Linked DNA regions of Coturnix japonica. The protein of the gene in region 1 interacts with the protein of each later gene in a biochemical or structural test. Links are inferred from orthologs where the notes say so. Each region holds a gene or a part of one and is shown in the gene's direction. Other genes may lie near its edges. The genes, in order: PKD1 and HDAC9.

The links.
Region 2: the proteins of PKD1 (region 1) and HDAC9 form a complex in vitro, tested with the Homo sapiens proteins (2 studies listed by BioGRID, with this or other methods). The link is inferred for Coturnix japonica from reciprocal best matches to the Homo sapiens genes PKD1 and HDAC9.

What each region holds. Positions count from the first base shown.
Region 1 is NC_029529.1:6,273,578-6,289,997, reverse strand, and holds part of PKD1 (polycystin-1), read left to right. Parts: intron 1-267; coding exon 268-545; intron 546-1,037; coding exon 1,038-1,787; intron 1,788-2,870; coding exon 2,871-3,002; intron 3,003-4,021; coding exon 4,022-4,197; intron 4,198-4,604; coding exon 4,605-4,738; intron 4,739-5,051; coding exon 5,052-8,674; intron 8,675-9,720; coding exon 9,721-9,870; intron 9,871-11,474; coding exon 11,475-11,618; intron 11,619-12,546; coding exon 12,547-12,826; intron 12,827-13,413; coding exon 13,414-13,630; intron 13,631-14,334; coding exon 14,335-14,485; intron 14,486-15,177; coding exon 15,178-15,330; intron 15,331-16,420. UniProt on the Homo sapiens protein: Component of a heteromeric calcium-permeable ion channel formed by PKD1 and PKD2 that is activated by interaction between PKD1 and a Wnt family member, such as WNT3A and WNT9B. Both PKD1 and PKD2 are required for channel activity.
Region 2 is NC_029517.1:26,951,182-26,967,601, forward strand, and holds part of HDAC9 (histone deacetylase 9), read left to right. Parts: intron 1-2,050; coding exon 2,051-2,166; intron 2,167-7,859; coding exon 7,860-7,982; intron 7,983-9,918; coding exon 9,919-10,129; intron 10,130-10,493; coding exon 10,494-10,711; intron 10,712-16,420. UniProt on the Homo sapiens protein: Responsible for the deacetylation of lysine residues on the N-terminal part of the core histones (H2A, H2B, H3 and H4).

The sequences.
Region 1 (16,420 bases):
TCTTTTAGATTGCAAACTGGCGCATTCTTCCTGGAAAAGAGACTAACTTTATGTTTAACAAACTTTGTGCCTTTGTGAAGTTTGCCAGTAAAACAGGACTCTTCTGACTTGTTTAGCACTGGGATGCATTGCAGTTGCAGCATTGATGATGAAGTCATCATCAGTCACAGAGAAAAGAATATGGTGAATTTGGAGCTGAGTAGAATTGCACTAGAGCGGAATTGCCTGTTAAAATGGTAATCTTTGCTTTCTCTTTACCTCTTCCAGTGTACCAGGAGGGACAAAATGCTACAGAACCACTTCCTACTTCACAGGACGATGGGAATTATACTCTAGTTGAATGTCCTCCTGGCTTCCAGTGGTGTCATTTGACTGATTTGTGCTCATCAGTAAACAACTGCTGCAATGCTACAGAGTGCACCAACAGTTCTTTTGCCAGCAGCCCTGTCCCTGCATCCCCTCAGCACAATGGAAGCCAGCTCAGCTATGAACTTGTAGAGGAGTTCCTCTTTACAATACCAGCTGGCCCTTCTTCCCCTTATCTGGTCAGTTTTTATTAGCTGCTGTAACTAGTGAGTAAGTGGGGCAGTTCTCTCTGAGTGCTTTGGGCAAATTAAGAATTGCTTGCAGTCTTCAGATGGAAAAGCTGAAGTCCATTCAAATGAAATGGCTTACCCAGGGAATACTTCACAGGCCTGGTGCAGGGCTCATGCCACCACTTTCTGTCGTCATCTCTGTAGGCTGCAAACTCCCTGTGGTAACAACAGTACAATAGTACAGTTAGGCAAAAGGCTGTGCGGATGCTCTGGGTTATTCCCATTGCATTTGAGAAGTGGAGATAAAGCATAAAGCTGTCTTCCATGTAAGAGCATTTGGTTCAGAGTGGCTGAGGAGAGCAGAGTGGTGAAATGTTTCTGCATGCAGTGTACACATCTCTGGCTTTTCTGTGAGTTTCCTCTTGGCAGCAGATCCAGCTTTGCCAAGGCAAGAATTGGGTGCTGAGTGCAGCAAACCAAAAATGTCTCCTCTCCCTACAGGTCACGTTCAGCAAAGAAGATGTTTTTGTGAGAGCCAAGGATGTCTTCAGTATCCAGCACAATGCAGGCGTGGGCTCATTCCTCCAGTGCCAACTAAGTACCACGTCCCCTTTCAGAACCAATTTTTTTAGTACAAATTCTTCAGATTGGGCACTTGGCCTCCCTGCCGGCTCCATTGATGCCACCTGGATCCATAACACTGTTTGCTCTCTCCGAGTTCTCTATGCCAAGGAGCAGCTGGTCCCAATAATCAGCCCCCAGAATGCAGGGCTAGCACATCCAGGACTTTACACAGTCAGAGCCAGCGTGGACAATGGGATCTTCAGTTCCAATCTGTCGTGCAATTTCTGGGTTACTTCCCAAGTGTCAGGCCTGCGTGTTGTTCACCCAGTTCCTCAAGGTGGCAAAGTGTATGTACCATCCAACCACATCACCCTGGTGGTCAAAATCTCCTCGGGAATGAATGCGACGGCACATTGGCTGGGAGACAACCACACCTTCCCCTTCGAAGGGGCCTGCCCACAGACTATTGCACCACTGACATCAGACTGTGCCAGAGAGAACAATGACACCTGGTTTGCTGTGCTCAGCCTGAGCGGCCTCAAGGAGGGGGCAAGTACCCACATCCTTGTTGCAGAGAATGCCATCAGCTCCCAGAACATCACCATCACAATAAAAGTGGAACAGCCTATCCGTGGGCTGAGGGCCACCCCAGACCCTGAGAGCAGAGTCCTGCTAAATACACGAGTGGTGAGTTGTTACTGGTGCTTCTACTTAATGATGTTAAGCCTTTACTGCCAAAGTAAAGTTTGATTCGAGAGGAAGACAAGGGCTCTATTCCACATGCGGTCAGGGTATAGCACTGCTTGCTGCTAAGTGCTGGCTCGTGAGCCATGCAGTCAGCACTGCTCTGGTACATGCATGTGGCAGAAACCACTCATGCTCTCTGGCAGGGAAGCAGCTCAGCTGTATGCTCACTTTAATTCCCTCAGAGGTAAGGCAGCGCTTCCTGCAAAAGCAATACTGGCTTTTCATTTTCCCAGGGATTTGACTGGAAAATTGATGCATTTATCAGAGGCCAGTGCTTACCTTGTTTTGACTTGTCAAGGTAGTTTATTCCTTCAGGCAATTTGATTTGCTCTACTAAATCTTTACACCAGCTGACAGAAGCTAGAGACGTGTTTCTTCCATCCATCAAAGGCTTGGACTTGCTCTGATGTTTTTAGTCTTTTTTTTCCCCCAAAATCCCTCATCCCCAGAACTACAGCCAAGCCCTCAGAACCTGATTAAAAACTGCCCATCATTATCTGTAAAGGACTGTGCTCAGTTTCTGGCTGCTTATGGCAGAACTCTGTGCCTGCAACGCCTGTTAAGTCTCACACTCCCTGCTCAGGAGGTACTGTAGGAGTAGGGAACTTACCCTGTTTGATGCAAGGCAACCATTTTTGTGTTTGGAACAGGCAGCATCCATGGACTAGGGGCAGAGATTGAGTTTGCAGGTGTAGGTAAAGCTGAGTTATTTCTGCAAAGATTTCAGAAAGCCTTTTAGCCAGCAAGAAAGAGACCTGATCCCAAGAGCAGATCATGAGGATGTGGGAGCAGGAAATAGAGCTTTTGCTCCCAGCTTTGCTGTTGGTTTATGGAGTCGGGATCTGCATTGCTCTGTCAGTGGCAAAGCCACAGGTGATCCTACACCTGTGTCATTCTCTGAGAGCAGTGTCTTATGCGTGTGTGATGCCTCCCAGTCTGGCTCTGCTCCTTCTCCAGCCCATCTGGGAAGCGCTGTGCATGCTTTTCTCTTGCACTAGCATAAAATGTCCTCATGCCTTTCAGAGCTATGTCCCTGTGATGGAAGCCGGGTCAGATGTGACTTTCCGATGGACGGTAGATGATAAACCATCTTTCACTTTTTACAATGTTGTCTTCAACGTTATCTACCAAAGCCCAGCTGTGTACAAGCTTTCGGTAAGCCGAAATACCATAATACCATTTTAATCCTGGGTTTCCATTTCATCCCATGAGCTAAGCAGGAAAAGGAGCAGGGAAAGAAGGCAGCAGAGCTTTCTGCAGACAGCCTGCTCCATTCAGGAGCTGTCAGTAGTGCAGGTCCATGCCATGTGCTCCAGTTGAGTTGAGGAGATTTTTGCTGTGCTCCTAACAAGCTCCTCTGCTATTCCTTGCAAATGCACATAGTAAGTTTCTTTTTATGGCTTTCTTTCCTGCTGACTTCTCTGTCTTTCTTATCTTTGCCTTCTCCTTTTTTCCCCAGCTCCTTTCTGGTCATGGAATATCTGTCCTTATTCCTTCCCAGCAGGAATGAGGCAGTGAGCCCCAGAGTAGAGTGCTGGCCACTGCTTTGGCATGCAGGAGATGTGTTTTCAGAACCAGGCAGGGGTAGAATTCAAATGTAAGATTTTCATAGCCAGAACAGAGCTTCTGCCACAAGCTCTCCTGGTCTCTGTCCTGTCCACTTTTTTCTAGTGCAGTCAGAAACACCAGAAGAAGGATAGAGCAAAATATCTGGACAGAAGAAAGTATCTCCTGTGGAAGAGAAGTTCACCTCTGGCCAGAACACCTTTCTGGTTCTTGCTATGTAGAGTCTTGGTCTGGCTAAAGGCTGCTTAATACATTTGCAGGATGACTAGTGGCAGAAGAGACACCAGCCCTAGCTCTGAAGGCACGCTTGCACTAATTTTCTGCGTGCTGCACTGTGCTGACAAGTCCTTCCTTGGACTAGTATAGTGTCAAAGGTGTGGGTCTAGCAAAAGGTGGCTTTGCTGGTTAGGTGACCTTCCAGTCTATGCTGCTTTCCAGAGCCTTTCAGGCTATTGCTTCTGCCTCCCTGTCCCACAGGCTACTCTTCTCTGACCTAACCTGCTGCCTGCCTGGGGGGATCTCTTCCACGCAGTGAAGCCCCACTCTGAGGAGAGGGCATCATGGCAAGGAGATTCCAAGTGAGTTCTTTGTCCCACTGTCCTCCCCAGCTCACCGCCTCCAACCACGTCAGTAACTTTACAGTTAACTACAATGTCACTGTGGAGATGATGAATAAGATGAAGAACCTGACTGTGTTGGGCATCCCTCCGGTCCTCCCCCAGAACAGCACCATGGAGTTTACAGCAAGAGTTCAGGTTGATTCAGCTGTGGATGCTATGTTCCTGTGAGTCCTTTGCAAGTTACCTGAATGAAGGATCTTGCTGTGCACGGCTTACCGGCCTTCCCCGTGTTATTTCTTCTCTCTGGGACAGTTGATTTTAAATGTCCATTTCTTCATCTGCTGTCTAGTAGTCCCTGGAAATCTGATTCAGTCACACTGCTTGGGACCTGTACTTGAAGCCTGAAATAGTTTTCTCTTAAAGGACTTCTATGTTGCTTCAGTATTCACTCTTCCTAGTAGTGCAGTGCTCCTCTGACAGCCATGGCTCTGCAGCATTGGCATAGCTACTTCTTTGATGTTTGTCATTATACTTGCTATGTTTTTTTTCTGAAAACCCTCACCTTATGCCTGAAAGATTCAGGCCTGGGGCTTTTGTGGTGTGGTGCAATGTAGTCTGTATGTTTCTCCAGGTGGGATTTTGGAGATGGTATCCAAGAGACATACCAGTTCACACCTCCCTACAACAAGTCTTTCCTTGTTCCTGATCCCAGTGTCCACGAGGTTATAATTGAGCACAATGTGTCACACATCTATGAATACCCAGGTATGCTCAGGCTGGTTCTTTAGGGAAAAAAGAACTCAGATGTTTTTGTTTCATGGATGTCACAAGGCACCTTCAAATAAAACAGTACCTTTGAAGTCATTATGTTGTTCCTGAGCAAACTGGCACATCACATGGCCTGGTCATAATTCCTGCTTGCCCTGGAACAGAGGAGGGAAGGACAGGGTGTATGCAGCAGGAACAGAGCGTCTCCCTGGGACTGCTTGTCACATTCCCATACTGTTACAGTACTGAGAAAGCTGTTGCACAATTACTGCTCTCACCACTGTTCCTTTTCTGCTCTTTTTCTGTGCAGGTGATTACATCCTGGTGGTTCAAGTGTCAAACCAGTTTGAGAACCTCACCTATATGACCCCAGTTTGCGTCCACAGTTATTTGGTTGATGTGCAAATAGAAACAGCGAAGGATGTTTTAGTTGTAAACCGCTCAGTCACTTTCAGAGCCATTCCACTTCCATCTCCCTATGGTGTCTTTTACACCTGGGACTTTGGGGACGGGTCCTCACTGGTAACAGAGAGCCAGTCTACGGTGACATACAGCTACTCCAGCAGGGGGGTGTACAACATCTCGGTGTCAGCAAACAACACCATAAGCACCGTGGAGACAGTTGAGTGTTACCAAGTGTTTGAAGAGATAACTGGGCTCTACGTTTCCGCAGATGAGGTGGCAGAGGTGGGTGCAGCTGTTACCATTAATGCTTCAGTGCAGACGGGAGACAGTATCACCTGGATATTTGATATGGGGGATGGGACGGTGCTGAGGAGTCAGGTGCCAGTGGTGGAACATGTGTACACAAAGGACATCAACTGCACTGTGAATGTGACAGCTGTGAATCCTGTGAACTCTGTCTCCCAAACTGTTCCTGTTTGGATATTTGTCCTGGAAGTACTCAAAATAGACCCTACTTCTTGCATTCTTGAGCATCCAGATGTGCAGCTCACTGCATACGTCACAGGGAATCCCAGTGAATACATCTTTGATTGGACCTTTGGAGATGGCTCATCCAACGTCACAGTCAGTGGGGACCCTGTAGTGATGCACAACTTCACACGAAGTGGGACGTTCCCCTTATCCCTGACTCTCTCAAGCAAGTTTAACAAGGCTCATTATTTCACCAGTGTCTGTGTGGAGCCAGAGGTAGTCAATGTCACACTTCTCCCTTCCAAGCAGTTTGTGAGGCTTGGTGAGGAATGCAGCTTCCAGGTCAGTGCTATGCCCCCCTACCAGTACCGCTATCGCTGGGATTTTGGCAACAATGAGTCCACAAGGTCTAGTGGAACTGAAGTGAGCTACAACTACAAGAGCACAGGGGTCTTCCTGGTTACAGTGACTGTCTCCAACAATGTCTCTTTCAACAATGACACGGCATTTGTGGAAGTCCAGGAGCCAGTTGGGGTAGCAAAGATTGAATATAATGGGACAAAGGTTTTAGAGCTGAACCAGGTCTACTTGTTCTCTGCCAGCATGAATGGAACCAAAGTGAATTACTTTTGGGACTTTGGAGATGGCATTACCCAGCCTGGCCAAACCACTACCCACTCCTACAACAATACTGGCCATTACACTATTAGTGTGACAGGCCAGAATGACGTGAGCATTAATGAAACCAGGATGGACATCACAGTGAAACGTCGGCTACATGGGATTACCATCAATGCCAGCAGGACAATTGTGCCTTTAAATGGTTCAGTGAGTTTTGTGGCCACACTTGTAGCTGGCAATGCCATCCGCTACTCTTGGATTCTCTGTGACCGCTGTACTCCCATCCAAGGCTCCTCCACAATTTTCTACACCTTCCGCTCCGTGGGCACATTCAATGTCATTGTGACCGCGGAGAATGAGATCAGCTCGTTGCAGGACAGTATCTATGTCTACGTCTTGGAACAGATTGAAGGCCTGCAGGTGGCTAGCAGTGACTTGGTGGAGGATCTCTATTTCCCAACTAACAAAACACTCCATCTGCACGCTGTGGTGAGAGAGGGGACAAACATCTCTTACAGCTGGATAGCCCAAAAAGATGGCAATGCTGTGCAGACATCCACTGGGAAAACCTTCACCTTGAATGTCTTAGAAGCTGGAAACTACACTGTCTATCTGAAAGCTACTAACATGCTGGGATGTGCAACTGCTAACAAGACACTGGAATTCATCGAAAGCCTTGGTCTTCTAAAGCCTTATGCCTTCCCCAACCCAGTTGCTGTTAATGCATCTGTTAACATAAGTGCCACCATAACCAGTGGCTCTGGTATCACGTATATTTGGTACCTGGAGGATGGCTTCTCTCCTGTTACATCTGAATCCTTTATCATACATTCCTTCCAAAGCCCTGGGGCTGTGGAGGTTGTAATCGGAGCAGAAAACAAGCTGGATTCAACCAATGCAACAATTAGTGTCTATGTGGAGGAGGTCATAGAGGAACTGAGTATAGGGACTGCAGAACTGGACTGTAGGTATGTCTCATCAGGCTCCACTGTTATCTTTGAAGGAGAGCTGCAGAAGGGGACTGAAGTGACCTGGCTTTGGGAGGTACCGAATGGCACACTGACAGGCCAGTCCGTGGCAGTCATGTTCCCCACAGCAGGGTTTTACACAGTCTATCTAAATGCATCAAATGACATCAGCTGGGCTGTGGCCAGCAGGAATATCTCTGTGCTTGACAGGATTCAAGGACTGGAAGTTATTGCCAGCAAGAAGGTGGTAGAGCCAGGTGAGCAGGTCACCTTTGTGATCAGGATGTCATCGGGTACCTCCGTGAGTTACTTGGTGAGCATAAGTGGGGACTACTCCGTAGTGCTTAATGGGTCCAAGTACACACATGAGTTCACCAAGAGCGGCGATTATTTGGTGACTGTGACAGTGCAGAACCAAATCAGCATTGCTCATGCCCAGGTGCTTATCTCGGTTCTGGAGGCTGTCCGTGGCATCAGGCTCCTAAACTGCTGCGAGCGAGGCATTCCCACAGGTACAGAGAAGAGCTTCAGTGCCCAGGTGGGGAGCGGCTCCCGGGTGTTGTTCTCCTGGCAGTTCTCCCTGTGGAAGGAGCAGGGCCGCTCCGTGGTCACTGCAGCAGGAGAGAGTGTTTCCTACACTCCAGAGGCTGCAGGGCTTCTTGAGATTCACCTCAGGGCCTTCAATGACCTGGGAGGTATCAATATCACCAGAACCATCCAGGTCCAGGACCCTATACTCCAAGTCTCCCTCACTGCCTCCAATGCCTTTGTCAATAGAACAGCACTGTTTGAAGCAGCAGTGGTACCCAATGGCAGGGGTGTTGAGTTCCTGTGGACCTTTGGGGACGGCTCTTCCACTCAAATGACCAGGACTGCAGTGGCCAACTATTCTTACCTGAACCCTGGGGATTACCTGGTGGAGGTGAATGCCACCAATCTCATCAGCTTCTTCATAGCCCACCTCACTGTTACCGTCAAGGTCCTGGAATGCGAGGAGCCGGAGGTGGAGCTAGCCTTGCCCCCTCAAGTGGTCATGAAGAGGTCCCAGAGGAATTACCTGGAGGCACAGCTTGATCTGCGGGGATGCATCAAGTATCAGACAGAGCACCTATGGGAGATATACCGAGCACCCAGCTGTCTGCACCTGGATGACTCCAGCAGGATCCATCTGCCAAATGTTGATGTGAACAGGCCGCAGCTCGTTATACCAAAGCTCGCCCTGGAAGTTGGGAGCTACTGCTTTGTCTTCATTGTCTCCTTTGGAGATACTCCATTGTCCAAAAGCATCTTTGCCAATGTAACCATGATACCGAGTAAGCTGGTCCCAATCATTGATGGGGGGTCATACCGTGTGTGGTCCAACACTCAAGACTTAATCTTGGATGGGGAGAAATCCTATGACCCAAACTTGGAAGATGGTGAACAGACTCCGTTGTTTTACCAGTGGTCTTGTACCTTCTCCTCCAAGGTAAGAGCATTTTTGTACAGCCATAGAGGGTGATCATTTGAAAATTAGACTGAGGTTGGACTTGATGACCTTCAAGGTCTTTTCCAACCTGGGTAATTGTATGATTTGGGAGCTCTGACTGAGTGTCAGCTTCACTATACATGTGTTAGCATCTGGGTTGAAATGGTATCAAGGGGAGCTGTTGTGACCATCTTTAACAAAGCTGCTTGGGAAGGAGGTTTGCAAATGTTGCCCAATTCCCAGCTCAGGACAGTGGTACAGCAGTTTTTGTGAGGAGCTGTGCAATGCAGCCTGCTGTAGTTCAGCACTGAGCACCCTCCCTGTATGCTTCAGAAGCATTTGCACTTGAAGCCAAAGGCATTCATTCTTCTGCTTCCTTTCTTCTTGGCTTCTGCTTCAGGTTCAGTGTAACATCTTCCATAACCTGAAGGAATCACAGAGCTGCTGACTGCTGTCCAAAGGGCGGAGGGCTCTGGTCCCTCTTCTGTGAACAATTAGATGTCTGATAGCAACAGTTCGACTTTAGAGGAGTAGGCACAAGCCAAATCACTCAGCCTGTCACCCTCACTCTGAGGCGATATGATGCTGTAGTGGATAAGGGGAAGGGGAGGTGTGACCCTCACGTTTGCATGGGAGATCCACCTCAGGAGAATATTTTAATTGAATGCAGGATTATTTTCCTTGGCCAAGGTCATTGCTTTCTATCTTCACAAAGTGAAAATATGTGAGCTATGTGTGAATGAGAATTTCAAGTTTCATTTGTGATGTTTAGCAATTTTTATGAAGTATTTGATGGAAGAGTCAGTTGCTATAAATTAAGAATCTGAAACTCAGGAGCAGAACAGGAGCGTTCATATGAACCTGTAGAGTAGGTTAATGTTCTTTGTCATTCACACACCACCTCGTGTGTCCCACCCTGGTGGTGGCATTGCACAGAGAGCTCTGTGATAAGTGGGCTTTGTGTGGGCCTGAATGTTTTGGCTGTGGACTTAACCCGATGTGCACCCGTACCAAGGAGGGTTTGAAAGTTCTTTTCTCCTTGCAAGCAGAGCTCGGCTGCAGGGTGCTCTCTGAATTTCAGTGCCAAGGGAGGAAATGTCACAATTCCCAAAGCTGTATTAGAAGCAGATGTGGAGTATACGTTCAACCTCACTGTCTGGAAGGAGGGTATGAATCCCGAGGCAACAAATCAAACCGTACGTACCACAGAACTCTGTTGCTTTCTGTCTCTGTGTGCCCATTGCTGCTTTCCCAACCTGATCCCAGGGGCAGAGATGCAGGTGAAATAGAATTTAGGGCATTGCTGGAGCTACATAAGCAGTCCTGTTCTGGTGGTTGGCAGAGACAGGTGCAGGTGTTTCCATGATACATTCACCTTACACAGCACTGTTTTCTTGTCCTGCCAAGTCCTTGTTATTTCTTCCTGCAGACCTGGGGTTAGTCTCACTGTGCAACCCTGGTGTTCACAACCCAGCCCCGGTCTGGTTCCTGGGACCAGAGGTCTGCAGCAACACTTCTGCTATAGAACACAAAAGATCCCGTGGTCAGTAGTTGTTCCACTGCTGTACGCAGTCCTGCGGTCTTCATACGTCACATTACCAAGTTCTTCCTTGATTTTTGCCTGCAGAGAGCTTCCTAAATGCTGATCCTTAATTTCACCGTCCTTCTGGATGTTATTAAGGGAGGATTTCTTAAGTGCATGTTGTTTATGTCAAATTAAACCTAACACTGAATGCATCTGTGTTCCGACAGCGGCTATGGTTTATGTCAGTAACATTCATCATGGTGTGTTTGGCAATTAGAGATATAGTTAGTCTGAAAGTGGAAATTCTTACTGCCTGGGTTTTAAACCAAAGCTGGAGGATAAAAAGAAAAGAAAAAAAAAAAAAGAAAAAAGAAAAATGAAATTGATAGTCTTTCAAGGACATTCCGTACTATCTGGTTTCCATGCATGAGTGCAAAACAATGATTCCAGTTTCATAGGAAATTTGCGAATACCATAGGAATGAATGAAGCTTTAATGCACTCCGGCTTAGTGCCGCTGAATATTTATTCTCTTTTAAAAGTTGCCATACTGAGAGTAATGTCTTCATTATTGTCTTTCTTTGACTTTGGAACATTCATTATGCCAGGGGAGAGGGCTCTGTCCCATGCTGAACAGCCCTGTTTCCTTAGGGATCAAAGGGCTTTAGGCAAAGAATGGGGATGTTATACTCAGCTCTCTGAAGAAGTTGGCTCTTCCATCTGCACAGCAAAGAGCATTTGATGTGTAGTGGGAGTTGCATCTAGCTAATTTTGCCTTTGTTTTTGTTTCTTGGGGATATGGATAGTGTCAGAAACGCTCACACAAAGCAGCCAAGAGCCCAGGGGTCAAATCATGGGATGCAGCATGCACTTCAATGCCAAGCTCCATAGATCAGAGCAGAAACTGGGGAGGCGGTCCCTGTGGCCATCCTGGAGGGAGCAGGTGCTGGCTTTGCACAGCAAAGAATGTCCTCAGCAAACACACACTCTCTGGCTTGCCCTCAGCCCTCTGTTACACTGGGCTGTAGATGCTTCCCATGCAGCAGCCTTCTGCAGGACCCATGCTTCTGGGTGCTCTGCAGAAGAATGCAGTCCCTTGGTGCCATCTGAAATCCCTTGGGAATCCCTTCCTGCTGTTTCCATAGCACATACTGGGCTGGTGCAGACCATCTCCTCTTTGAAAAGCAGGTGCTGCAACGTCTGCTTACTTTCTAGATGTCTGTATTCTTGTCCCTCAGCATCTCAGATCTCCTGATGGAGCCTCTTGTTTTCTCAGGTATTTATCAAGAGGGGAGGAGTCCCGATTGTATCCCTAGAGTGTGTTTCCTGCAAAGCTCAGTCTGTCTACGAAGTCAGCAAAAGCTCCTATGTCTACCTGGAAGGGACCTGCCAAAACTGCCACAATGACTCCAAGATTGGGGTAAAGTGCCCAGCAATGCTGGTTGTTGCTTTGCATTTAGTAGACTTCAGGGAGAAGGGGACAGAGCAGAAAGACCAGATCCCCTGGTGAGCTGTCAGAGAATGCCCTTCCCCAGGGCATCTGCATCATGGTGGAGATGTCTGCTCTGTGGGGCCTGGAAGTTGTGTTACACACAGCACATCACTCCTACATCAGTGTCTGTCTGCATCTACCTAAGTACCAGCAGTTTTTACACAAAGACCTTTTTTTTTCCCCCCTAAGAGATTAGTAAAGAGTTTTTTTTCTCCCTGCTGGTTGGTGTGTTATGCTGGTGGTTCAAGCAGAGGTTGTTCAGACTGTTCTGATTCCCTAAGCACCTCGTGCTCTCTAATTATAGATTCCAGTAAGCAACATCTCTGCAATCTGTTGAATGAAATGGGTCTTAGAAGTGGAAGTCCTATTTGTGAGTGCTAAGCTGTATTGCTCCCAGCAGGCCAAGCATGTACCTGCATGGCATTTTCTGGCTGGCTATCTCAGCAGTCCTCTTGTTATCACAATAGTACATTTGTGCTATTAACAGTAACTGTCCAGGACATGTTCAGCTTACAGCACATAAAACACGGTATCCCATGGAGACTCCACGAGTACTTAATTTATTTCCTGTGTTTTGTATTCTGTATTATGAAATATTCTGTCGGAGGGTGATGTAATCCCAGAGACTACAGTAGATCTCACAGTGGAAATATTCCCATCAGACGTTTTGGAATGGTTCCAGTTCTTGTTGCTGTAGCACACGAGACTAAGGCTGAATTATCAACTGCAAATTTGGCAGACGCTCCCACTAGAAATCTGTTACTTTTTATAAGAGGCTCAATCTGAAAACATTTTAGGGACATAACTTCAAATTCAAACAAAACCTCTCCTGTCTTTCCCTTCTTCTTCTCTGTAGAGATGGGCAGCCCATAGCTTTAAAAACAAGTCTCTCATCCTGGACAAAAAAACTACCTCCACCGGTGATACGGGAATGAACCTGGTCTTGAGGCAAGGGGCACTGAAGGATGGGGAGGGCTATACTTTTACCCTTCACATCACAGACCTCACAACAGGGGAGGAAGGGTTTGCCTCCATTGACCTGCTCCCCAACCAGCCGCCCATCGATGGATCCTGCCGGCTGTCTCCCAAAGGACCGCTCAGGGCACTGATGGCAAAGGTGCACTTTGAGTGTACAGGTGAGTGTGCTGGGCACTTGCCAGCCCTCTCTGTTCTTCTTTCTCATGCCTAGTAAGTTACCAAGTGCCTTTATTCCCACAGTTGTTTTATTTTCCCTTAGCTCATATCCCAGTACATTCGAGGTGTGGACCTTTCTTTCACTGTTCCCCAAATCTTGGACCATGAGCGGTTCTGTGTGCTCAAATTAAGGCACCCTGTGGAAATCACAATGGCAGGAAGGCACTTTTTTACACCTAACCCATGTGGTTGAATAGCAGTATATGGGCCAGGGTAGTACTTGTGGGAGAAACTGGTGTTAGAAGGGCAGGAAAAAGAAGATACATGCCCAAAACAGTCACACAGATCTGGGAAGTGTAAAGACAGAGCACTGGGGCCATCTCAGTCATATGGGCTAGATATTCCCATCAGCAGTTATCTTCTCAACCAGTTGCAGAGACAGCAACAAAGGATCCAGCTTTGGAAAAGTGGCTTGGCTGATGGTCTATAGCTTTGGGCCAAGTGTCTCCAAAAATCTTATTTCCCATAAGACTAGAGGTTAAGGTGCTCTGTGCACAAATGCATGAGTGTCTTTGGGTTTGTCTTGCAGGCTGGCGGGACACGGAGAATGCAGAGGACCCATTGGTGTACATCCTCCTGGCATCTCGCCACCGCGCTGGGCACTACCATGAGTTCTGTGTGTACAAAGGCAGCCGTGCTGAGCACAGTGCCTTCCTGCCTCCGGGCTTTCACGAGAGTGGCTTCGTGGTGTCTGTGTCAGTCCTTGTTCAGGATCAACTGGGAGCAACTGTGGTGGCCATTAACCAGTAAGGCTGGGGAGAGGCTGGGCTGGGTCTGCATGCAGTTCCTGAATCACTTTTTGAAGGGTTCAGCATTTTCTGGGTGAGATACCTTCTAAATGAGGCTGCTGGAGGCTCAACAAATGGGAGATGTTGCTGCCACAGACAGCCTCTATCTTTGCGGATCATCTCTCAAAGGGCAGAGTGACAAATGCCCATGAGTCTTCAGGCAGTGTCCCGAGCTATTCCCAATGCTTCCTGGTGTAGCTGTGTGCCTGCTCCTTCTCCAAGCTGATCTAGTCCCATCCTCCTGAGGAGGAGCGTGCAGTTGTGCAGTGCCTATGGAGGAGAATCTGTGTCCCAGCTGTCTCAGACCCCAGGGAGTGATGCCAAAAGTAGTGCAGCTCCTCCCAGCACACTGGCCCTATTTAGATGCTCTTTGTGCTCCACCAAATTAAACTTGGATATTTTCCTCTGGGTTCAGTGCATCCCTTTGCATCATCTACATCCACCTTTGCAAAGCTGCACCAGCTAAGAAGCTTCAGGCCAACAGAGCTCCTACATCCATTGCAGATTGGGTTACCAAGGCAGGCGTTAGTAATGCTTTCACTGGTGTTTAACAACCTGTTTCCCCTCTATTTTCCTTCCCAGCTAAAGGGCAGATTCTTCTCCCTGCTCCCAACCCTGTTTGAAAATATGCACCTCAACCAAATGCCTCTTTTCCTTGGCAGATCCATGGAAATTGGCTTACCTGAGGGGTTCCCCAGCCTCTCCTACTGGCTCTACAATCAAACAGACACCGTGCTTCAGGGCTTAGTGAAACAGGGGGACCCTCAGCAGGTCATTGAGTACTCTCTGGCCCTCATCACCATCTTGAATGAGGTAAAGCAGCACACTGCACAAGAGGGACCTCTGCAAGGTCTTGCAACTGCTAGTAATGTTCTTTGGCCAGGTTTTGTTTAACAATGTAGGAAAATGACTATTGATTGCTACAGGTTTTGTGTTTGGTGGGCTTTGTTTTGTGTGTGAGTGTAAATCAGCATATCAGAAGGAGTAACTGGCTCCAGGCACACAGTGACTAGAATAAGCTAAGGTGTAAGACCCATGTAAGATAAAACAGTGGTCCCAGGGAAAACGATGATCTGGACATCCCTCGTGCAGGTTTCATTTTTAGATAGTTTTTCCTCTCTGCTTCTAACCTCAGGTGTAAACACTGAGTTTAAAAGCAGAAATCTTGGTCCGAATTCTCCCACCTCCTACATGCTTCCCTGAGGCAGCCACCCTTCTTCATCTCAGCATCCCCATGAGCACAGGCACTGTGCTTTGCTAGGTAGGGACTGCACACTGGTGTGCTACTTAGCTGTCAAGTGCAAGGCTGTTAAGGTAATTGCTTGGAGCACACTTGTGAAATTGAGAAAATTCTACTGAAAACCCAGCTCATTAAATCACCATCTGGGGAGAAAAACAGGCAGGAAGGAGATGTAGAGTGCAGGAAAGGTGAATTCAGCACAGCTCATCAGCCTCTAAAACAACCTGATGCATTTCCTCACTCTACCTGCTTTGATCCTCCTCAGTATGAGCGGTCAATGCTTCTGGAATCTGAGACTGGGAATGAATTTGAACTCCGGACTTGGACTCGCAACAACATCACAGAAACCCTGAACTCACTGAATGTGAACACGGTTGATGATATCCAGCAGATCTCAGCAGCGTTGGCTCAGTGCACGGTACGTACCAATCGTTACCCCCAACCTTCTGCTCTTCCAGGAGCAGCTTAGATGCTCTCCAGTTCTTTTACTTCCCTGTCCCTCTTTCTCCCACATACAGACCACACAGGGACAGTAGGTGTCATTCCTTGATATCACCAGGGTCTCAATGGAGATGTCCTAAGTGTTATCAGCTCTGCTTCTTGCCATGCCACTGGTGTGGATAAGGTGATGTATTTGTATACTGGAAGACAGCACCTAGGAACTCTGTGCTTCTTCTCCATATTACTGGGTGCACAGAATCTCCAAGGACAAGCTGGTCTCCATCAGAAGTAACTGAAATAGAGTCAGACCTGCCTTGAGAAAGGGAAAAAGCCAAGGATTGATGTTCCTTCCAGCCTTGTTTCTACAGTACAAGATTAGAAGCACTTCTCTACTCTGCTGTTGACTGGAAGCACTGTGTTCCCTGGTCAGCCAGCAATTGCAGCTCCCTGGTGCTGGGGCTGCTGCCTCTTGGATTAAGGAGTGGTTTTGTGTGTTTTCTCAGATGGGCAAAGGGAAGAGAGCCCAGTTATATAATGTGCTTGGGTTTTGGTGCTCAGCCAGCCTGCTCTGGCATGCTGTTTCTTCCCCACCCTCCCAAAGCTTTGCTTTTCGGGAGCGCAGTCAGGTACCCTGGCATTGATTGCACATTGCCTTCCCAGCCAGGTCAGCAACCTTGTTGACTTGGAATGGGTTGTCACTGAAATGATGGACAGACTACTGCATGCCACCCACAGAGTCCCCATTCTTCTCCTCTCTCTGTTTCAAAGTCTGTAAGCCTCAAAAATCACTTCTTTCTGTTCATCTTTGCTCGGGGATTTGGGATTCAGTGTATCCCACTCTGATGCCACGTTGGTTTGTTTCTGTCTCTCACACATGCTCTTGCCTTGTGACTTGGTCTCACTGTGGAAGCCTAAGTCTAGAAATAGAATTCTTGTTCCATTGGAAAAGCTGACATTCTAGGATTAGTTTGCTCTGGGTTGGAACGAAGCATCTGTGAAAACAGTAATCTAGAATTTCCCAAATGGTTGAGAATTTCCCAGCACAGAGCTCACAGGTTTTTATTGCT
Region 2 (16,420 bases), on another chromosome or scaffold:
CTCAATAAAAAGAGATTAAAGAGAAAAATGCAAATAAAATTTTGTCTTCAAGTAGTTTTTCTTTCAGTATTATTTTTGCCCTTGAACTAAGAAAAAAAGTGAAAGGCTGAATGAACACTGGAGCTGTAACTTCTGTAATGTTTATTACTTTGTTGAATCACAACCCAGCTCTCATTTCAGTGCTCAGGACCAGCATGTTGCCCTATCCATTGATGTGAAAGAGAAGAACATTTACAGCATTTGATATCTCTTGCTTTGACTTTACATTTGTATTGAGTATCTTTGTTGCTTGTTTAAGTAATAATGCACATGTTTGTACAGTGAATTGTTAAGCTGTCATACTTGTCTGAATTTATTTGAAATATCAGAATTATGTCACACCAAAGTGGAACTATAAAATGAATGATTTTGTTGTCCTCATTAATGCATTTCTCATGACAACTTTACAACAACTTATCTGGTATAAAACTGAGACACATATATATCAAAGTAACTAAATAAGGTGATTTCTCTATAAATTAATTCCATATCAGATTTTTCTTTTACAAGTATTTTACTATTTCTATTTGCTGAAACTAAGGAAGTAAAGATTATGAGCTTCTTGGTCTCCACTTTCTTAGTTTTACCTCCTCTGTTTATATTTTGCACACTTTGAAATAGAGATATATTTAGCCTATAATTTCTTTTTCTGCAGCCATTGAAAGAGCAGAAAAGGGCAGGGAAAAAAAATGTATCTGGATCTGGCAATAATTCTGAGTATTATAGATCACCACTTTAGTTATGAATACCTGTTAATATTGGACATTTTGCAGCTTTCATAAACAAAACTTCCCTATCAGACTGTTGGCTGAAGCCTTTTTTTCCTTTATTTTAAAATCTCTTTTAACTGAAAATGCTTGCTTATATAAAAGTGCTAATATAGTCATTCAAAAACAATATATATATGTATATATATATATTGGTTTTTTAGTGCTCTATGAAAACTAGTGAGAAAATAATGCAGGTATCTTACCTGACCAGCTATTATAGCTGGTTGCTGATTCACTTCAACAAATTGAAATCAATTCTAACAGGAAACAACAACACACCCAAGGTACTGCCAGAAAATCTCCTCTTACCATTGGTCACAGTGAGGGCGTATTTTTGGAAGTGAACTGAGAAAGAAAGAGAATTGGCAATAGCATATTTACTACCACGCTTAGATACTTATATTAACTTCTTGGAGATTTGCTTTTGAAATTTATCCCATGAAACAGTCTTGTCTCTGCTAATGCCACACTCTTTCATCTTTAATCTCGTTAGTTGTTACCATGTGTAGATCTTTTGTTTATCTCAGTAGAGAATGATAATAACTCAGTACAACAGCACACGGCGCTTTCTTTTAAGCAGAGTTAAGGACATTTTAAGTCAAGGAAACATACAGACTTTAAAACTCTATTTTAAGATGTTTGTGTACTGCCAATATTCTTTTGTATCTGTACTAAAGTCACAGTGAAAATGATGTATATTCTGTCATGTGTAAAGATGTACTTGCATGTGTAAAGATTTGACTTCCATGGGCATGTTCAGCACCATTTCTATAGAGTCAGAGAGTGGCAGTAGGCCTCATGAATAGATGACACGTTATCATGACCTTTGCAAGCCGTCTGTCTCTGTCATTTTGATCCTTTACAGAGGCAGGATTCTATACAATTATAAAGAAAAGACTATCTTTTCTTTTTTCTTTTTACAAGTTCTATCTCTACCTGATACTGATTATCATATCATTTTTGTGAAAATAAATAATTTAATTCACTCCTTGCAAAACATAAATCAGAAGGGAAAAACCAAGGCTATCTTTTCTCATTAGCACTGTAAAAGGAAAAACAAAAGAAACTGAGACTGAAATAGAAATCTTCAATGTAAGTAAATAGTTCATTCATAACCAGTAGATACTTTTCAACAGCCAAAAATCCCAGCCTGTGCCATACAGTATAGACAATTAATCAATGTATTATGTTGTTCTTCTGGTGCAAACCATGAATTCATGTATTCTTCCTCTATTTTCCAGAATCCTCAGTCAGTAGCAGCTCCCCTGGATCAGGTCCCAGTTCCCCAAGCAATGGTCCAACTGGCAGTATAGCAGAAAGTGAAACCTCGGTTTTGCCATCTAGCATTCAAGCTGAAGTAAGACTCTTTCTCTTCCTTGGATAGGTAGTTGCTCAGACTTCTAGACTGGAGAGATTTGAAACTTCACTTTGATTATACCTACAAATAGAATAATTGCAGCAGTTATAATTAGTGGGGATATCATGACACTGCATGATGACAACACATTATGTTATGAATAAGATGATACACACTCTACATAGGAGGCCAGCATATAAAAAGATTCTGATTACAAAAGCAGCTGTGGTGCTATCACAGCAGTTGGAGGAATCTGTGGAAGAAACTTGAAAGCATCTATGTTGCGGGACATTTGGAAATAAACTGGGGAGGAAGGGAACAAAGAACTAATGAGGCAAAAAGAGTAGACCATGAAATAAACAATCACTGTCATGTCACAGTGTCATTGCATCCCTCTTGCCAGTGGAGATAAAAAAGCAAAGTTTTACCTATATTTCAGGCTCTTAGATTGCTGTGGGTAGGAGGAAATAGGGATCTGGCTTACCTTTTGGGATAATTTGAAGAAGTGCAGAATGCTGACTGCTAATGAAGAATTTCTGCAAGCAAAAGTGCGACTTCATCATCAGTGACTAACATGTAGGAAATGAGGCATTCCCAGGTTCAGATGCTGTTGAAGTGGATGTATTTGAGTACAGTATCAGAGTTAGGTGACTAAGTCCTTTTTCACATCTGCCTTATATTTTAGTGCACTTCAGTTTCCTTATCTGTGTAATGCTTACCAACATAACCAATGTGTGAGGAGCCTTTGATACTTGTATTGTGAAGCTAAATTGTACATGAAAGGAATTTTAACTACTCATTATTCTGTTTCATTCAAACGTGCCTATAATGACAGGAACACAGATGGTAAATCAGTCGTGATAAACTTCATTTACCACAGATATCATGCATAAATCATGCTTCCCATGGTAATTTTGTAAAGGTGGAAAAAATTAATGTAACTAAAAAGATTGAAGTGCAGAAATATTCTGTTTCCAGTGTGTATATCTATAGGAATTTTCATTTTTGTGACAAATGTTTTTAAGAATTGTTTGTTTATATGTTTTATGTTAGGAAAAAATATATATATATATTGCATAAGAAAATGTGATTTAACAGAGTTTTAGCTAAGGGAGCTACTTCTCTAGGTCAGTGACAGGACATTCACCTCAAAAAAACCTGGAATGGGCAGTTCAACCTCCAGCAGTGACTTTTCCCCATAATGAATTAATTGTGTGTGTGAACTATGATCCAGAGGGCAGGTGGGTGACCTCTGCACACTGATTAGTAGCCTCTCTCTGGCCCGTAACCAAAAAGGATAAAAAAAATAAAAATTGCATTGATGGCTAACATGTGGTCTTGCCTCGTAGCCCCTCTGTATGTGATTGCAAAAAAAAAAAAGTAAATGATGCAGAGCAAGATCCATCATTTGGATTAGATCAGATCCTAGCTCAGTCGTATTAAATGAAATATTTTAGGAAATTTGTCATATATGGATGTTGATGCCTCATTAAACAGGAAGTCATATCCAGTTGCATTTTGTCTTGACTTGAGGATACTACAGAATTCAAGGGGAATAATGGTTCACTGTGTGTTACTTTGGGTATTTTAGTTTCTGGGCATTTGCCCACAGCACTGAACCAGCATCAGAAAAGGATTGAGTCAGGTCAGGCTTGCAGTCTGTCTGGGGAGATTTGGCAAGGCTATACCAAACTTTATTTTCTGTTAATAAAACACTTCACTTACCATTACTGTGCCAGTTATCCACTGTTTCAGTTCCACACAATCGAAAATTTTCAAATGAGACTAAAAAGTTCCTTTTAAATTTGATTTCTGTATGCTGGAGTCATTCTCTTAGCTTGGTGGACGTGGGCAAAGAAGCTGAAACTACTGACTTCCATTTCTGGATCCAGTCAGAGATTTCATTACCTCTCTGGTTACTTGACTGTTAATACTGTGGTCCTGTGGGCTCAAACATTTTTCCATAAATCTCAAGTTCAGTGCATTTTGATTTCAGTGGGATTTTCTTTGGTAGTTTAACAGCAGCCAAATTGCTACATATCTCTTTGCTAGTTTAGCACTAGCTGCCAGCTCTCAAAGACTATGCATCTAATCAATTTTTCATCAGATACACAAAGTACTGAAGTTTCTAATAACAGGCTAAGTGTTCCAAAATCACCCAAAGTATCACTTGTTTTGCTGTAATCCTGAATGACTCACATTGCTGTTGTTTCATAATAATCGGTCTGACATTTGCAGTAAGTGTTGTGCTCGTATCTGAGTGGGTGGATAGCTGTGGTTTTCATGGCAGCAAATAAAACACTTTTTGCTGAGGAAAACCAGGTTGCTATGACAAAGCCATTTACCAGTAAAGCATGAGTCAATACCATAAATGATTACACTCCAGTACATAGACAAAATTAGAGCATTATCAGTAATGTAACAAATTTTTAAAGTATTTTTGCCATACCCATTTGAATAGCTAGACTTTTACGTGGCTTACCCTCCGGAGTACAGTCTGGTGGGCAGGCATATCTATTTTTTTGAATGAACAAATGCACACTGTGTATGGTGCACTTATGCAGATAATATTTTCCTATCACAGTTCCCCTAATGGTACTTTCAGTAACATTTGTTAAAACATTAGTTTCCTTATATGAAACTTAGAAGTTAAACTCAAGATCTTAATTGAACTTTTATAAATAAAGTGCTGTTTTTATTAGGCCCAGTTGTCTCCAGCAGCATCAAGGTTCACCGCAGTAGCTATTTGTCTCTTGTAGTGTGTCATATGCTTTCAGGTCACCTGCTGTGCTTGGGCTAAATCTTACTTGTATGAGAAGTGCAGTCAGGACTGATCCCTGCACAGCATGTCCCTTGAGTTCAGAGGGACAATCTGCAATAGTCATGTGAAATAATTTGTTTTAAGAATGCACAGACTGGTCAAAAGCCAGTGAAGGTAATGGAGAGTTTCTACTTGATGTTGTTGGACTTTTGGTTGTTTTCTTGCTCTTACATTTGCTATTTGGAGAGCAAAACTGCGTAGGATGTCACCGTATACAGGAGACAAAAATGACATGTATGGCAGATATACACATTCTTGAGCATATAAACAAGACTGAGACTGAGTTTTTACATGGTTTTAAAACAAAAGAGAGAAGAGTTAGTCAAGATGTTAGGAAGAATTTTGTTAATCGGAACAAAAAGTGTGAGACACTGATGCAGGCTGCCCAGAGAAGTTGTGGGTGTCCCCTCCCTGGAGGCACTCAAGACCAGATTGGATGTGGCCCTGGGCAAACTGATCTTGGGGGGGTAACCCTGCTCCCAGCAGAGGATTGGAACTGGGTGATCTTTAAGATCTTTAAGATTTAAGATCTTTAAGAATGGCCAAGCCAGGCCATTCTGTGATTCTATGATTATATCTCCACAAGTTGCAAGTATTTAATGCCAAACCATTTCCTCTTCCCCTTCTAATGTATAAATGATAAATGTGCATATAAAGTAGGTGTTCCGACTTCCCAGCAGGCCCTGGCAATAAAATAGAGCACAATAACTAAATGTGGGTGATAACCTATTAACTAATCTAACTAATCTTGGTGGTAGCCATTCACTGTTACATTTAGTTATCATACTTCTATTTCAAGAAGGAGGGTCACTATGTTGTCAGGCTACTTTAGGCATCAGTGAACAGAATCCATAGACTCAGTGAGTAAGTATATGGAGGAGCAATAAAGTAGTTGCTCTTTGGCATAATTTGGGTTTCAATCCAACCCATGAAGGACGATGACTTATCTGTTGTGCTGTCCATAGACTCAGTGAGTAAGTATATGGAGGAGCAATAAAGTAGTTGCTCTTTGGCATAATTTGGGTTTCAATCCAACCCATGAAGGACGATGACTTATCTGTTGTGCTGTGTCATTTAACAGTCATACGTGATCTTAATGTGGGAATATGTTTTGCTGTTATAAACCCTGTCACAGTTCCATTTGTGGATTCAAATCATAGGAAACAATAATGGCATTCTGGAAACCAAAAAGGAAACATGCATTTTTGCAGTGGCTCTCTATAAATACTGCAGTGGATGGATACAAATTTGGTATTCTAGAAAGCACACGAGCTGCTACAGCATCCATTTGCAGTCAAATCTTCATAGTCTTCCTCTGTTCTATCTCTGTGGTCTTGATTTATTTGGCTTTAATCATGGTCAAAGGTGGATCTTACCAAGGCAGGGCACTGTTAGCTAGGAATTAATGTAACGAAAAAGTGAAGCTTCTTTGTTTCATACGCTATCTGTTGACATTCCCTAGATACCAAAAGAAAATTACAGAGATAGACTTCTTCTGTTTTTGTCTCAGTGATAGGTCGTATCTCCAAACAAACTGTATGAGGAAGGTTATGTTTTGCAATAACATCCTGTGTTTTTGTGCTTAACTGCTTTTCATTGATGGTCTGAAGTTGCATTGTATTAGCACAAAGTATTTTACAGAGTTAATTGATATTCCAGGTTTGTCCAGGGGAAAATCTACAGCTCCCCACAACATGCTTGACAAGTTATTATATTTACTTTAGTCAAAGCCCGAGTGTGCAGTATCCCTCTTGGAGGTGGTCTATTATTGGAGTCCCATATGCTTTTTGTTTGGGAAGAAAGCAGTCACTGTGTCATACTGTTACACGGGGTATTCTTTTTCAAGGATGTTGTTCCCTTGGGGACCATATCATGCCAGAGTTCCTAAGTCTAATAAGACCTTTGTAGGTCTCATTGTGTTAAAATTCTGGGAGGGAAGCAAGAGTTAAAGAGAAAACGTAATTCAAGCAACTATACTAGACCACATGTTGAAAAACATGACTGTTAAAGCAGAAACACAAGGGCATTAAAATATTCCTATTACAGTAATGTAATTTTTTATATTTCTTCCCTAAAATGGAAAGATGGAGGGTGATCTTTGTAGTATGCCTGATTTACTTGACATTAATTATATCAGCAATTGTATGCACATGAAAATTATATCACAAGGATTCAAAACAAGTGTTAAATATTTTAAATTTTAAGGAATTAGGAAAGAAGTGAGGGGATATTCCACCATCAGAGAATGATGAGTTGCTATTCTTTGTGTATATGCAGAAATAGACACGGTGTATATATATATATTAATGACTGATGCGAATGTGTGCCTCACTTTCTACCCCAAATTTCCATGTCAATGTCAATGGAAATTAATGATGTGTTTGAAACACCTTCATATCATTATATGGGTAAGCGCATACATAGATAGGTAGGAGCCATTTTTCATACTTTACATCAAAAATGTTATTAACTATAGTAGAGGTCTAATTCCTCCATATTCATAACACTTTTGATTTATCTAGTTGCAATCAATAATTCATTGGCTAAAATCCTGATGGTATTTTAAGCAGTAAAAGCGCAGTTGATGAGAGAAGAGGTGGATTGGGAATCTTCAAGCATTTGGGTCTGAGTAGAAATTTGACTTATTAGCCAGTGCATAATCTTAGGTGTACTTCAGATGTTTTCTTAAGAAAGAAAATATCAATATTTTCTTTACAAGGACAGTACCTACTATCTGGAACCCCACTGTGGTGCAAGCCAATCCATGACACATAACTGGCTTTAAATATAGCAACAAAATAGGCATAATGTTATCAAGATTTAAAAAAGAGCTTGGAGGTTGTATGGAAATTGTTTTTCCTCTTTATTCCAGCATCTGGTTTCACAGCAACGCCTTTTGATACAGGATGAATCAGTGAACTTGTTGAGTCTGTACACGTCCCCTTCTTTGCCCAACATTACCTTGGGACTTCCAGCTGTACAATCTCAAATCAGTGTAAGTGATCAATCGTAAGCCTTTCTACATTTTCTCCTACCTTTTTTTTTTTTTCCCTCCTACTTTTTTTTCCCCCTCCTACTTTTTCTTCCTACTTTTTTCTCTGAAATAACCTACTTTCTGCCCTTTCTCAATTTTTAACATTTTGGAGCATAAGCAAATCAGAGCAGGTTCCAGACCTTTCTTTCAACTGGGCAGCATCTGAAATTTTAAGAAAACAACTTGAAAGCAATTATTATTCTCAATCTGAAATAAGAGCTGATGTGAAGTTTAGCTAAGTATGGGCCATTGTATTGTATTGTATTGTATGGTATTGTAGTTATATTTGTAAGTATGATAACAAACTTCAGAGAGTATAAAAGTTCTAATTGTATAATCCCTCCTACTTGGTAAAGCACAGCACCTCTGACATTCTATAATGAGATGCAGTGGCAACCCAAGCTGGGCTAAAGCATAGCAGGGGAAGAATCCAGCATTCCTGAAGTTGAGGGTTTTTTTGTTTTTGTTTGTTTGGTTGGTTGGTTTTGTTGTTGTTGGTTTTTTTGTTGGTTTTTTTTTTTTTTTTTTTTTTTGAGGGATTTAATCACATAGATTAAATTTTTAGTTATGTAAACAATATTTAATGACTAGTTACATTCATATATCCTTTGTTCAGTCTGCAACAATCAAGTTCATTTAGAACTTAGTGTTAAATTAGGGTGTGAAATGTATAAGAAAAGAGCTACAACATGTATTGAAATCATATTGATGGATGTTGAAAGATCTTTGTATTAGCCAGCTTTACAGCAATCTAGAAGTAAAATCTGAGACTCAGTAAAAGAACTTCTAATTTTGATACTGGTCAAAACTTTCTCTTCTTGATTTCCGGCAAAAATAGTCATATAATCATATTGTAGTTCTATACACCATTGTATAAATTCTGAAGAACTTTTAGAAAATGAATTGGAAACTTCTATAGAAATACTATATTTCCTTATGTAAGAAAAAATAAAAATATATCACAGTATCACAGTCTCATGCGGGTTGGAAGGGACCTTAGAGATCATCAAGTCCAACTCCCGGGATTTGAGCCTCTGTGTAGCAGAGCGGCACTTCTACCACTGCGGCACCGGGGCACACAATATATGTATCTAAACAGTCTACTACAGTTTGCAATAAGTACTGCACAGTTCCAGTGCAGGTTAAAGTTTCTTGCCGCTTAATGGCTTTTTTTTAGTGCACTTAACCAATAGCATATTGCTGCAGTGAAGCATTTAAAATTAGACATAGAACGTTGAAAGGAAAATTGTGTAGGCTTTAAATCATTTCTCTAGAAGTCTTTCATGAGATATTTATAAGCAAATGATTGGTTTTAAGGGATGGAAAACTTGAACTGATCATGAAAAGTGGTAGTTACTTTTCCAGATCATATTGTCAAAAAAATCATAGCTATTTCACACACACACACACACACACATACTAAAAAAAATAAAATAAATAAATCTTACTTCAAAGTAATTTTAGAACATTAAAAAATAGAAATGAAAATATATTTAATTTTCTCAATAGTGCGAGCTTTTGATGGAGTCAGCTGGCCCCAAATATTACTTTTGGCATTTGAAAAAACAAAAGGGTTGATTTATGCAAATACTGCCTATTTTTCTTCCCACAATAAGTAATTGCAAAGTGGATTTAAAGTTTACTTTGGTGTTTATTCTTCAGGAAAGGGTGATAGTAGAGTATAAAGTAAGCATGTGCCCCAAAAAGTCAGTTGCTTAGTTTCTTAGCTGCTTAGTTTCTTGCAGTGCTTGTTCTTCCTCCCTCTTCATGTCACAGTCAAAGTGCAAGAGATAGATTTAAACTTTTTCTTCTGTATTCAGAAAGACCATCTAATCAAGTGAGATAACAATGGCCAAGACAATGAAAAGCAGTCACCAGTGTCATTGTTTCTTGACAGGCTTCATCATCATTCAAAGAAAAGCAGAAGGGAGAGACCCAGACACTCAGACCAGGAGTGGCATTGGCTGGACAGTATGGTGGGAACATTCCCCCATCTTCAACTCATCCTCATGTTGCTTTGGAGGGAAAACCAAATAGCAGCCACCAGGCTCTCTTGCAACATCTGTTACTGAAAGAACAGATGAGACAACAGAAACTTCTTGTAACTGGTAATGATCAAAGTTTCAACACAATAATCATTTTAGAGGTTTTTAATGACATTTTTATTCTGGATGTTTTAAAAAGAGGAAGGGTGGGAGAAAAAGGATAGAATGTTTGTTTTCCCACTTCAGTGATTCTGCTCGATTAGCCTCAAAGGATTCCTTGATTACAGTAAAGAGAAAATGATTACTTCATCACATTCTTTAGCAACTGCTGAACTTCCTAGCATGGCTAGGCGTGTGGTACACATCTCACTGCATCAGCACTGATACAAAGTTCTGCAGCATACACCCCTCTTCTTAGTGAGAGATTTCTCTTCTATTAGAGCTAGTATTTTTCTTCACACTGGAGTAAAATGTCATTGTTTTGTAGGAGCAGTTCCTCTTCATCCCCAGTCTCCTTTGGCAGCAAAAGAAAGAGTCTCACCTGGCATAAGAGCTGCCCACAAACTGCCTCGTCACAGGCCTCTGAATAGAACCCAGTCAGCTCCTCTTCCTCAGAGCACTTTGGCCCAGCTGGTTATCCAGCAGCAACATCAACAGTTTTTGGAGAAGCAGAAACAGTACCAGCAACAGATCCACATGAATAAGGTGAGTTCCCAAAGCAAGTAATTTTTAATGAACATCCATGTTGAAAAATAAGTGAAGTGTAGATGCTGGGGCCATGTGGTAGATGAGAAAAACAAGTTCTTGCATGAGTACCTTGCTTATGCATAGTTTGTATATATTTGCATAGACCTTCATTTTCATTTTTCTGAAATATGGTACAAGATTGGTTTATGCTTGATGGCATCAATAAACATGCAATTCAATGAAATAGGGATCAAAGAATCTTTTAGGCTTAGATTACAAATGCTTTCCTGCTGAATGCTGAATGATGTCTTATGGATACTGTATTTCTTTGATCCAACTTCTCTTTATTTGCCATTTCCAATTTCAGAGATCATTCATTTCAGCTGCTGAGTCAGAGTTTAAGCTTACTCACTATGGAATATTGCGTGGAGTAAATATATGATTCATTTGAAGTAAATCAGCTGATTAAATTTATCTTGTTTTTGTTAAAAATTTATTGATCATCTGTAGAAATTTTAACCAGCTTTTATCAAATCAACTTCTCTGTAAATTCAACAGTAATGTAAAAGTTTGTTATCTGTGTGGCAATATAAAAATACCAGTGATAGAGAAAGAGAAGGATTTGCTGTGGCTCATGTCATATACAGAGTTGAACTGTGCCTGTTTCCTTGTAGAGTAGCATATTTTTCTGAGAGGAAAGAAAGAAAAAAAGGACAAGAAAAAAGCTGCTTAACTAAATCACTGTTGTAGTAATCATACATCTGTACTTTTCTTGTTTTGCTTGAGAGTTATTTGGAAACTATACATAAGAGCTAATTGCGAAGGAGAAAAGATGAAAAGCAGGACATTCAATCTTTGTACCTATGAGAAAGGGAAAAAAAAAATCAATCCACCTTACAGGGTGAACTTCCCAGGGGGTACTGATTCCTTGGAATCTACTAAGAATTCTCAACAAAATTAGAAACAAACCTAGAGTTTAAGTACATAGTTTGTACAGTGGTTTGGTTATTAAATCTTGCCTTAATTAGGAAAAATGAAGACCAGAAAACTTCAAAGTTCAGTGCTGATCCTTGCATGTTAACCCCTCTCAGCTTGGGTGTTTTGATTACTCAACTAGGACTCCAGTTGGCTTTTCTTTGAGTATGCATTCCATATGTTTAATCAAGATGGCATATGTATATCTTGTAGCCTCAGGTTTTGAAAATATTTCACCTGCCCTCAGTTGTCTGAAAAAGATTTTTACCAGTAAAGTACTGAGTCTTTGTGCCGTTTCTGGGTATCCACTGCAAACTGATCAGCTACTGCTCATGCATTCTTCACAAAGCAATAACCACAATAACATGTTTTTGTTAGGTCATATGCTTATTGACATACTTTCTACCATAGCATTTGGGGGTACATGGTGTAGCATCTATATATATTTGTCTTGAAAGTGAAAATTAAACTTGAGTCGCATAAATATATTAGTCACATATGACTGTAGATACATTGCACATCACAAGATCTTGGCTGGAAAACAACTAAAAAAAGACTTCAATTGGCATGAGAGAATGCCTGCTTTAGTAACTTTTTCTTTTTTTTCTCTGTGTTAAACTGCAGTGAAAACAAGTGTTGAGAACAAAACACTCCAGAAATACTCTTCCATTCTAATGTGATTATTTACAATAAAGGGACGATACAATTCCTTCCCTTAAAGCCTAGCAAACCTAATTTTTATCATCTACACTGTAGACCATATGCACATGTAGATAGTAGAAATTTATCCCAGGGCCTTTCACTGTCTTGAAATACCACAACATACTTCCTTTTTCCAGCTATCTCAATTTCCTCTATCTGTACTCCCAGAGCAGATAGCTTTCATCAGGATCACAGTCTCTCATCAGAGCAGCAGACACCTAAAGAGGAGAAGGATCATCGTGCACCCACAGAAGCAGCAAATTATGTGTGGATGTGGGTAGTTTATCAGACTTTTTTTATGGTCTACAGTAACAAGGTTCTTGTACCATACTGTTCCCTGAACCAATCTGCTGCCTGGTAATAAAACTGACCATGCTCCAATCACACATCTGTTCTCAGCAAGTATACAAAAAGCCAAGTGCTTTCTTACTTACTTTTTAAAAACTGGCATTTAAGGTAGTCAGTAGAGAAGTGGTGAGAAATGATCAAATCAGGAAGTGGCTATTAAGTACTGAATTTAAGGTTATATTATTTAAGTCCTTAATTAAAGGTTTAGATTGAACACCTGTGCATGCATATTGTCTCTGAATGCGAGCAGCAGGATAGAATGTACTTTGTTCATTCTTAAACCTTACTTGTATTTGTAGTTGATGTTATTTATTTATTACCCAACTTAACACATTTCTAGAGCTCTTATAATCAAACCTGAACTCTGCAAAGCAGAGTTATCTGAATCCAAGAATGAGATATTCTGGAAAATGAAGCAAAGCAACCCAACATCTTATTTCTTATAACAAGTTTGAGCATGTATCGAGAGAATATATATATTTATTTTCCACTTCTCTATCCCTCACTATTTAGTACATAGACCCTGTACTGAAATCTTACATAATTCCCTCCTTGCAGTCTTGAAAAAAATATTTAATGAGGAGTACTCAGACATGGTTTGAAAATGTTTCATTAGAAATACAAGAGCCATTTTAAGCTGACAAGACTACAAAATGCTAGTTGATGAAGATTTTGAGAACAAGTTAAGACATTCTATTTATTTTGTATTTCTTTTTCCTTTTCCCTTTATGTTTAGGACTTCAAGTGCTTAGGGATTTAATATATTTCATCTGAATCTGTTATTTAAGGTATTTCTCTGAGCTGAGATCGTGTGTCATGTGTCAGGAATCCTTGAAAAATGAGTTTGGTCAAATCTTAGGTAACAACAAAAAGAGGATGAGAGCAACAGACTCTACCCACCCTATGGATTTTCTATTTATCTTCTATGTAAAGGTGATTTCTTTCATAAAATAATATACTGTAACTGCAAGTCAGTGCTGCCGTGAGGGTGATAACAGGCAAAATCTGACACAGGTTGGAGGTAAAGGATCCCCCTGGATCATTTCCATTCTGAATAGAAACAAATAATTGCCAAGAGGTGTGTCTTTGTCCTTAATAAAAAAGTGAAGATCCCCTCTGGATTATTTCTGGTCTGCTGTCAGATGCCATGCTTTTGATGTGGGAAATGGGATACCTGCAGGATCTAGTATACTGACCTCCTAAAAATATGTTGCATAAGTTGACATCATGTGCAGAAGTAGGTAGAAACCTGCATCCCAGCTTTCTGGGGAAAAAAGAATTATAATGAATGTGCAGTAACCTGAACTCTGCTTGTCCCAGGAGAGCTTGATTTTGCTGTTGTCAGCTTTAATATGCTTCTATCCAACTTGCAGCATATTTCCTCGTGAGGCCCTTTGATCACCATTATAGAACTTCATCCTGCTCAGTAAAGGGAGACCAAAGACTGAAACCTCTATCTAAAATTATTGCAATCAGGTTCCAAAATATTGCTACTGCAATAAAAATCCTGAAGTCTTGTTTCCATTTGTGTATCTCTTTATCTAAAAAGCTTTTATGCTTCCACTTGCTAAAAATATATATATATGATTTTGAGGTAACGAATATAAATGCAAAGCCCATAGTCGAACTCTGAGATAAAGAAAATCTCAGAAGTCATAATGTTAGCAGCATGTAAACAGAACCCTCCCTCAGACTTTAAAGGCTGTTGTTTTGTGTGTGTGTGTGTTTGTGGTTTCTTTTTTTTTTTTTTTCCCTTTTATTTTTTATCATTTTTTTTTTTCCTATGTAGGGTGAATAAAATCAATCCTCTGCTGAACCTAAAGTGGCACCATCCTCACTGGGACCAAGATTTCAATTGGTCCATATGGGAACCCTACAAGTGTTCATAAAATAATGTTTGTTGCATTTTGACAATTCACAATTATTTTTCAATGATAAAGTATTCCTTTGTATTGAGTAGTAACAAAATAATGGAGCCATTTGCAGTGTGCATTAAAGTACAGAAACAGTATGGACAATGCTAAAGATTAAATAAGGAGTGCCTTAATGTTCCAGGCTATTAGTCAGTTTAAAGCATCTTTCACTGGGCAAGACTAAAAGGTAAAAGTTATATGACAAAAATAGAGTGAATAAGAGTAAATGTTCATTTACAGAAGTTTATCATAATTGGCCAATGTGTATTAATAGAAAAATGAAAAATAATATGGGCTATTTCTATTGATTGATGGAAAATACTAGGAAAATTATTTGTTAGGAATATTGAAAAGAGCCAGGTAACCACAGGTTCATCATTCACTCTTCTTATACTTAATGAAATAAGAAAGACTGTTTTGATCAGGTTCTACTTGACTAAATTAACCGAGGTACTATAATCAAGGTTTGTCTTTCCAACTTACCTTTCTGACTTGCATCCTCAGAAGATGAGAGCAGTAACACTGCTTCTTTCAAGTATTACTTATAGTAGGGGATTATATGAACAAGACTATAGCAGTGATTAAAGGTGTTTGTAACTGAAAACTGCCCAGAACATTTCATCCTTTATTAAGAACTAATGTTTAAGTCATAAAGCAGAAGAATGATCTTGGAAGGATAAATACATCCCTTAGAAGTGTACTACACAAGTAACAGGAGAAAACAGTAAGCAGTTTCCAAGTTATTTCAGCACAGCTAACAACTTGCGTAGCTGGTCAGAGTAACCCGAGAGCCATGGCACAAAAAGAGAAAAAATGTTTCCATAAGCATGCAGATGAGTTCCTAGAAACAACAGCAGTGTGTTTCAAGAAGGAACAATCAATTAAGGAAAGAAATGTATGTGGTGGCTGCTGCGGGGTTTTGTGCTTTGTCTCTTTGTAAGCACATTTTATTTAAAATATTTCATTTTACAAGAGCTTGTTATTAAAAAAGAGACACAAAAATAGTGTCTGCAACTGGAGGCCTTGTAAAACAGTCTGTTTCAAGGTCCAGGTTATTTGTGTGTCTTCCATTTTCCTGTACAGCCACGCAGGTTTGATTGTTTTTGATGTCTTTTTTTGGTCGGACTCTTGCAGTTATACAATGGAGTTGATGTGTGTAAATGCTTCATCTCCTGCTGCCACTATTTACTTTGGCTCATGCATATCCCTTACAATTTAATTTCCTGAAAATAAAAGGGGAAAAAATATATAGGTTACATTAGCATGAAGCCTTTTTTTTTTTAGTAACTTTAGTTGGAATAGCAATAACAGGAATGTATATTGGTTTAAGAAGACCGATCTGTACAACTAATTTATTCACTAAGTAAACCACTCCTATGTTATTATTTTTAAATGTAGTCTTACTAAAGTTCAGATTAAGCAATCACATTCTCAAAATGAAAAATGTGCATTAAGAACAGGAGAAATTCCTTCACTGTATCTGTAGATAAATACAGAAAAAAACAATGGTAAGTGGAGATTTAAAGTGAAAGATTTAAATGTTAAGTGCAAGCAGGAGTATCCAGCTGCACTGTGAAAGGACTTTGGCAGTGTTTCATTCAGGGTTCATTTTCTGCTGAGTAATCCAGCTTAAAATAGAGAGATAATATAGAAATATTGACTTTCGACTGCTATCTTTGTGGGTCTCCAGATATGTAATTACCTACAGTAGGGCCAGGGGATAAAAGTATAAAAAAAGATGCTGTTGTCTTAGGAGAACTGAACAGCCTTCTGATAACATTACTAATGT